2 linked regions of the Saccharomyces cerevisiae S288C genome follow. The protein of the gene in region 2 interacts with the protein of the main gene of each other region in a pairwise test. Each region holds a gene or a part of one and is shown on either strand. Other genes may lie near its edges.

Evidence for each region. Proteins that work in one complex are often made in the same cells at the same time.
Region 1: the proteins of MKK2 (region 2) and SPH1 interact in a two-hybrid assay, tested with the Saccharomyces cerevisiae proteins (one study listed by BioGRID).

What each region holds. Positions count from the first base shown.
Region 1 is NC_001144.5:760,182-764,028, reverse strand, and holds SPH1 (Sph1p), read left to right. Parts: upstream 1-1,686; coding exon 1,687-3,279; downstream 3,280-3,847. Other genes in the region: septin CDC3, read left to right, coding at 1-1,454; mitochondrial 54S ribosomal protein mL57 MRPL15, read right to left, coding at 3,788-3,847. UniProt on the Saccharomyces cerevisiae protein: Polarity-determining protein which forms a conjugate with the ubiquitin-like modifier HUB1. Involved in bud site selection and cellular morphogenesis during conjugation. Required for pseudohyphal growth.
Region 2 is NC_001148.4:286,964-290,859, reverse strand, and holds MKK2 (putative mitogen-activated protein kinase kinase MKK2), read left to right. Parts: upstream 1-1,825; coding exon 1,826-3,346; downstream 3,347-3,896. Other genes in the region: UME1 (Ume1p), read left to right, coding at 1-1,191. UniProt on the Saccharomyces cerevisiae protein: Serine/threonine protein kinase involved in a signal transduction pathway that plays a role in yeast cell morphogenesis and cell growth.

The DNA of each region.
Region 1 (3,847 bases), on a different chromosome or scaffold from region 2:
ATGGAGTGGACTCGCAGTACACGAACGGTACGCAAAATGACGACAGCGAGAGATTTGAGGCAGCTGAATCCGATGTAAAGGTGGAACCCGGCCTCGGTATGGGCATCACCTCCTCTCAGAGCGAAAAGGGTCAAGTTCTGCCTGACCAACCGGAGATTAAGTTCATTCGTCGTCAAATCAATGGTTATGTAGGGTTTGCTAATTTGCCCAAGCAATGGCACAGAAGGTCCATAAAGAACGGATTCAGTTTCAATCTCCTATGTGTCGGCCCTGATGGTATTGGTAAGACAACTTTAATGAAAACTTTATTTAATAATGATGATATTGAGGCCAATTTAGTGAAAGATTACGAGGAGGAACTTGCAAATGATCAGGAAGAAGAGGAGGGTCAGGGCGAGGGTCACGAGAACCAATCACAAGAACAAAGGCACAAGGTCAAAATTAAGTCATATGAGTCGGTTATTGAAGAAAATGGTGTTAAACTGAATTTGAACGTGATCGATACTGAAGGATTTGGTGATTTTTTAAATAATGATCAAAAATCATGGGACCCGATCATTAAGGAGATTGACTCTCGTTTTGATCAATACTTGGATGCGGAGAACAAAATCAACAGACATTCAATAAACGATAAAAGAATCCATGCATGTCTTTATTTCATTGAACCTACAGGACATTACTTAAAGCCCCTGGACCTGAAGTTTATGCAATCTGTATATGAAAAATGTAACTTGATTCCTGTCATTGCTAAATCTGACATCTTAACTGATGAAGAGATCTTAAGTTTCAAGAAGACCATTATGAACCAGTTAATCCAATCTAATATCGAGCTGTTCAAGCCTCCAATTTATTCCAACGATGATGCAGAAAATAGCCATTTATCCGAAAGACTATTTAGTAGTTTACCTTATGCTGTTATTGGTTCCAACGATATTGTAGAGAACTACAGTGGTAATCAAGTGAGAGGCCGTTCCTATCCATGGGGGGTGATCGAAGTGGACAATGACAACCACTCTGATTTCAACCTTTTGAAAAATTTATTGATCAAGCAATTCATGGAGGAATTAAAGGAAAGGACAAGCAAGATACTATACGAAAACTACAGGTCTTCTAAATTGGCAAAACTTGGTATTAAGCAAGATAATTCAGTTTTCAAAGAGTTCGATCCAATATCTAAACAACAAGAAGAAAAAACTTTACATGAGGCAAAACTAGCCAAACTAGAAATTGAAATGAAAACAGTTTTCCAACAAAAAGTTTCCGAAAAGGAGAAAAAACTACAAAAATCAGAAACTGAATTGTTTGCTAGACATAAAGAAATGAAGGAAAAATTAACTAAACAATTAAAAGCTTTGGAGGACAAGAAAAAACAGCTAGAACTTTCAATAAATAGTGCTTCTCCCAATGTTAACCACTCCCCCGTCCCTACAAAGAAGAAGGGATTTTTACGTTAGCGAAATAAAGACATATAAAAATTTCAAACATACACTATTAAATATTATTACTATTAATATATAAAACGCGAGACGCGTAAAATAAAAAGAAGAAGGGTAAATAGAAAAAAATGGAAATGAAGAAAAACAGAGTTATTCAACTAAATATCTGTTATGATTTGAATCGCAGAATATAAAATTAAAACAGTAAAGTAAAAGAATATCATAATGTGGCCATAACGAAATAAAAAGAATGATTAGCTCAGAATTAACGAATGATCAAATCATAGACCTTATATCGGATTATAAGAATTTCAAAAGAATTATAGAGGCCTCTGTACCAGAAGATGATAGAAGAAGGAACCAAAACCGCCAAAATAGAAATAAAGACCTGACAAAATTGTCGAATGTACAATTTTGGCAACTGACGACTGATGTCAACGATGAATTGATGAAAAGATTGACAGATTCGGGTGCGGATGCATCACTAAATGATCTTGATCTGAAAAGAGGTAAAGCACAATCTAAACTGTCTCGATTGAAGGACGCGAAGTTCCATAAATTGATTCTTGATATTTTCACGGAAATTGAAAGGAGAAACTTACATCATTTGGATATGGGGACGCATAACAATGGGTTAGACGAGGGTGATCTAAATTTCTATTTAAATGACACATTATTTGAATCCTTCAAAATAAACGATGATTTTATGAGCGTGAATGGTATTATATCCATTGAAGTCTTCCGAGAATTAAAAACTCAATTTACACTTTATTTTCAAAACACGCTCCATCGAATTGATCCTGTGGATACCACCACCACACGCCTGCCGATTCTGCTTGAGACTATAATTAAGATAGCAAAGTTGATAGGCGATCTCTTACCTGTCCTATCATCAGTTTCACTGCAAAGTTCTTTAGAAAACGAAATAGTATACTTAAAGAGTGCTTTATCTCATGCTATCACTTCAACAAGATATTTTCTCACATATGGGGACCTAATACCACGAATTGTAGCTCAATCATCTATTTCGGAAGTGATTTTTGCGTTCTGCAATATTGCTCAGATTGTGAAGATCAAATCCACCTCACGTGATGATATATCACGCAATGAAGGAGAACTCAGTGATATCGAGGCAGGTATGAAACCGTTGAAGATTATTGAAAAAGTGAAAAATGAGAAAAACGGTAAGGATATATCATCTCTGGGTGATAGCGGTAGTACTGCTGTTAGTTTTCCATCCTCTGGTAAGCCCATTACAAAAAAATCGGACATGCCAGTGGTTGTAGCATCGCCATCAATTTCCATCATAGAAAAATCTGAATCTTCTATTCGAGAGAGTGGGAAGGTACGAAATAATACATCTGGAGAAACAAACTTAGCGTCTGTGTCGCCGTTAAAAAACACTAAGAATTCTTCAAGAATTACGAGTGAGCCATCTCCGCGAGAAGGTTTGCCTCTGAAAGTTGTCTCGAACTCGAGAAGTCCAAGTCCTCAAGGTAACACATTGCCGCTAATTGGTAAATTTCGGCAGGATTATCAGGCATCACCTCCGAAGAAAGTTATCACTAAACCAGTGGCAGAAACGGCGAAGCCGTATGCAAATATTCCGCCAGCTGCAGACGTACTTTACTCGCCAACCGTGACCAAAATGAGGAAATTCAGAGAGAAAGTGCAGAAATTTGCTCCCAACTCTGGTCTTGGATTAAGAATATCTACTTCAGAAGAAAACTTGAATAATTCTGATGTCAACTCAACCACGCACAACGCTAACATAAATAACCTCGTCGAATTTGTTGAGAGTAAATCAATGGTTGTTCTTCCTATGGCAGGCAGGGCATTTTGAATGATGTTCAAGCCTCTAAATCAAAATTGTTCAAGTCCGCAAGATCAGTTTCGAGATTATGTCAAAATTCCATCGAGATTATTCCTATTTTGGAATCGGTGATTGATATGACTACCAAAGCAATGGTCCAAAAAAGTTTTAAACTGGATTTAGGCGAGCACTGTAAAGAAATTATTGAAAGGCTCACAGATTGCTCGCAAAAGTTATCGGAATTGTGTACTTATGGATGCGATTCCACAAAGCTTGGGAAGAAACGATTCTATCAAAAATTAGCAGATATCCTGATGGAAGTAACCAAGCGCACCAGGGAATTGGTTGAATGTGTGAAGATGGCGAACAGGCAGACTCTTTCACAGGACCTCTCGTCATTTTTCAATTATAGATCTGTACAGTAAAGTCATATATATTCTTTAGTTATTATCTTATTTTATTTCGATCACTATTTACAGATAAATTTTTCTTTTATACATTTTTGGCCAGTGAACCATCAACTATATTTTTTGTATCTTCACAGAAATGCTTTATTTTCCTTGTCGGATATTTTTGCCTTTGCAGATGCTACATTTTC
Region 2 (3,896 bases):
GGTGTTTTGAGCGTACCACTTTTATATTCTCAAGGGAGTGAAATCTTTGAGGTGGATTGTATAGTGCCACTCGGACTTCATTACAAAAAACCTGAAAGCATTTCAGAACCGTTAGTACAACCGGATTATACCATGGAATCTCAAAAGGTGGAGCAGACTGTTTTGATTCCAAAATGGGAATTTAAAGGTGAAACGATTGCAAAGATGATTTACGTGGATAACAGCGAAATAAATGTAAAGGTGATAGCCCTTTCTACCAATGGTTCTTTGGCATGGTTCAGAGAAGGTGTCAAATCGCCCGTTTACACAATGATGGAGCCATCCACTTCTCTAAGTTCAGCATCGTCCGGAAATCAAAATAAACCCTGTGTTGATTTTGCAATTTCTAACGATTCAAAAACCTTAACAGTAACTAAGGAAAAACATCTTGATAATGAAAACGCTACAATAAAATTGATAGACAACTCAGGTAAAATAGGAGAAGTGCTTCGTACAATACCTGTTCCTGGCATAAAGAATATTCAAGAAATCAAGTTTTTGAATAATCAAATATTCGCCACTTGTTCTGATGACGGTATCATAAGGTTTTGGGGTAATGAGATAGGCAAAAAGCCCCTTTGGATTCTAAACGATTCTTTGGACGGCAAAACAACTTGTTTTGCTGCATCACCGTTTGTTGATACATTATTTATGACGGGAACTAGTGGTGGGGCTCTCAAGGTTTGGGATATACGTGCAGTTATCGCTTTAGGGGATGCTGATGCTGAGTTAAATATCAACCAAGGACATAATAAAGTCAATGAACTATTCAAAGTTCATCACTTTTATAGCGAGCAAGTGTCCAAAATAGAGTTTTCTTCCATTTCGCCTATGGAAGTGGTTACAATTGGAGGGTTAGGTAATGTTTACCACTGGAATTTCGAACCTGTTTTTGCCATTTATAACGAGATACATGAGGACTTTCAAGGCATAATATCTGACGAATTGGAGGCCGAAAGCATGGCATTTTATCACACTGAGGGCTGCAGAAGAGAAATAGGAGAAAATAATAAGGTTAATACCGTTGCTTATCACAAATACATTGAGGATCTAGTTGCTACAGTTGATAGTGACGGGTTGTTAACTGTATATAAGCCGTTTACTGGAAAAGTTTTAGATGGCAGTAGAGAGGTTGGAGCTGCCAAAAGTTAATTTTTATATTATTTAGGCTGTTTGAGTTTGGGGCGGAAATGTATGAATAAATTGTGTAATATTTAGTCTTTACTTCAGCTTTTGTTTTTCTAAAAATTTGTTTTTAATGTTTTATTGTCTGAAGTAAACATTAATTATTAGCTTGAGAATTGCTCTACATGTATATATAAACGGCAAGGATCTACTCTTTAATATAGAGAAATGTACATACCTTTGAAAACGCGTTTTCAGAGTTTAGAATGTATAAGGTAACCTTAGAACCACATCTCTTATTGCCAGACTCTCAAAGGTGAACTGATATTGAGCCTATTTTACCCTTGTTTATGTTCACTTTCTCAATGCGAAAAAAAATCAAAAAGAAATAAACTTTATCCTTAGAGTTGAAGAATTAGAAAGAGAATAAATCAAAGGGATCAGTTGGGAAAGCTCAATACTTTCCGCTTAATTTTACTGAAAACCTCATCAAACACGTAGGCACATATATATTCATATATTTATATGTTGGCTACCTTCTAATTTGCATGAAATTCGTTCGCTCAAAAAATTAGACATTTTACTAGTAGCAAGTATTACCTGATTAGCATAGCAGGCACTGTTATCATATCTACAAAATACCAATTATATACACAGGATAATGGCTTCAATGTTCAGACCACCAGAATCCAATAGGAGTCACCAAAAGACTCCAAAATTAACGCTTCCAGTAAATTTAGTTCAAAATGCGAAATCCACTAATGATGGGCAACATCTCAACCGGTCACCGTACTCGTCAGTGAACGAAAGCCCATACTCCAACAATAGCACTTCAGCTACTTCCACTACGTCATCCATGGCTTCAAATTCCACTTTGTTGTACAATAGATCATCTACTACAACTATTAAAAATAGACCGGTACCACCTCCATTACCTCCCCTAGTACTAACGCAAAAAAAAGACGGTATAGAATATAGAGTTGCCGGCGATAGTCAGCTTTCTGAAAGATTTTCTAATTTGCATGTTGATATAACTTACAAGGAACTACTATCTAGTGCTCCAATTTCCACTAAGTTATCCAACATAGATACCACTTTTATCAAGAAAGATCTCGACACACCAGAAGGCGAGGATTCATACCCCTCGACACTTCTTTCTGCGTACGACTTCAGCAGTAGCGGGAGCAACTCCGCCCCTTTAAGTGCAAATAACATAATTTCTTGTTCCAACTTAATACAAGGAAAAGACGTAGACCAGTTAGAGGAAGAAGCATGGAGGTTTGGGCATCTCAAGGATGAGATTACTACACTAGGAATTCTAGGAGAAGGCGCGGGTGGTTCTGTAGCCAAGTGCCGATTAAAAAATGGAAAAAAGGTTTTTGCGTTGAAGACAATCAACACTATGAATACTGACCCAGAATATCAAAAGCAAATATTCAGAGAGCTACAATTTAATAAGAGTTTTAAGTCCGATTATATTGTGCAGTACTATGGTATGTTTACCGACGAACAGAGTTCTTCAATATACATTGCCATGGAATATATGGGAGGAAAATCACTGGAGGCAACGTATAAAAATTTGTTGAAACGTGGCGGTAGAATAAGTGAGAGGGTGATAGGAAAGATAGCAGAATCTGTCTTAAGAGGTTTATCATACTTACACGAAAGGAAAGTCATCCACAGGGACATTAAACCCCAAAACATTCTTCTTAATGAAAAAGGGGAAATCAAATTATGCGATTTCGGTGTCAGTGGGGAGGCTGTTAACTCTTTAGCGATGACATTTACTGGAACGTCATTTTATATGGCCCCAGAACGAATACAAGGCCAACCATACAGCGTAACCTGTGATGTATGGTCCTTAGGATTAACTCTTCTGGAGGTTGCTGGAGGGAGATTTCCATTTGAATCTGACAAAATAACGCAAAACGTGGCTCCTATAGAATTATTGACGATGATCCTGACGTTTTCTCCCCAGTTGAAAGATGAGCCAGAACTAGACATATCCTGGAGCAAGACATTTAGATCTTTTATCGACTATTGTTTAAAAAAAGATGCCAGAGAGAGGCCTTCTCCCAGGCAAATGTTAAAGCATCCCTGGATTGTAGGGCAAATGAAAAAAAAAGTCAACATGGAACGGTTTGTAAAGAAATGCTGGGAAAAGGAAAAGGATGGGATATAAACTTCCAACATTTTCCTCTCGTAACCAGAACTGACTTTTTCTACAACAGGAATTCTTTAACGAGACTTCTCCTCCTTCACCATTCATAAGTTTAACGATGTTCTTTTATTATCTAGACACTCCGAAATATTCTTAACATATACGTATATAGTTTACTGAAAACCGAACTAGCCATGGGCTATGAAAGTTCTCCTATTTCCTTACTTACATCAAATAGAAATGCGCATCCAAGTCTTTCTGGCAGGCACGCTATGATGTGCTAAATTATGACTCAAGTGAGTACTAGGCGCTTTTGTACTCAGCCGCGCGGGGAAAATTTCTTCCCTCCCTACCAAAGAGGAAAAAATCATATGGCGTCATATTATCCTATATACAACGGTCGAACAAAAATCTGCTCGACTCAGAAAAATAAAAGGGTTTTAACATACTTATTGCTTACTTAAGTTACCACTTCAGTAACTGGAGCTATAAATACAATAAGCGTTTTGTACGTAGAAAATATCCTCTATATTGCCTGATTTTCTTTAGTTCCGACAAGGGCTCCGACCAC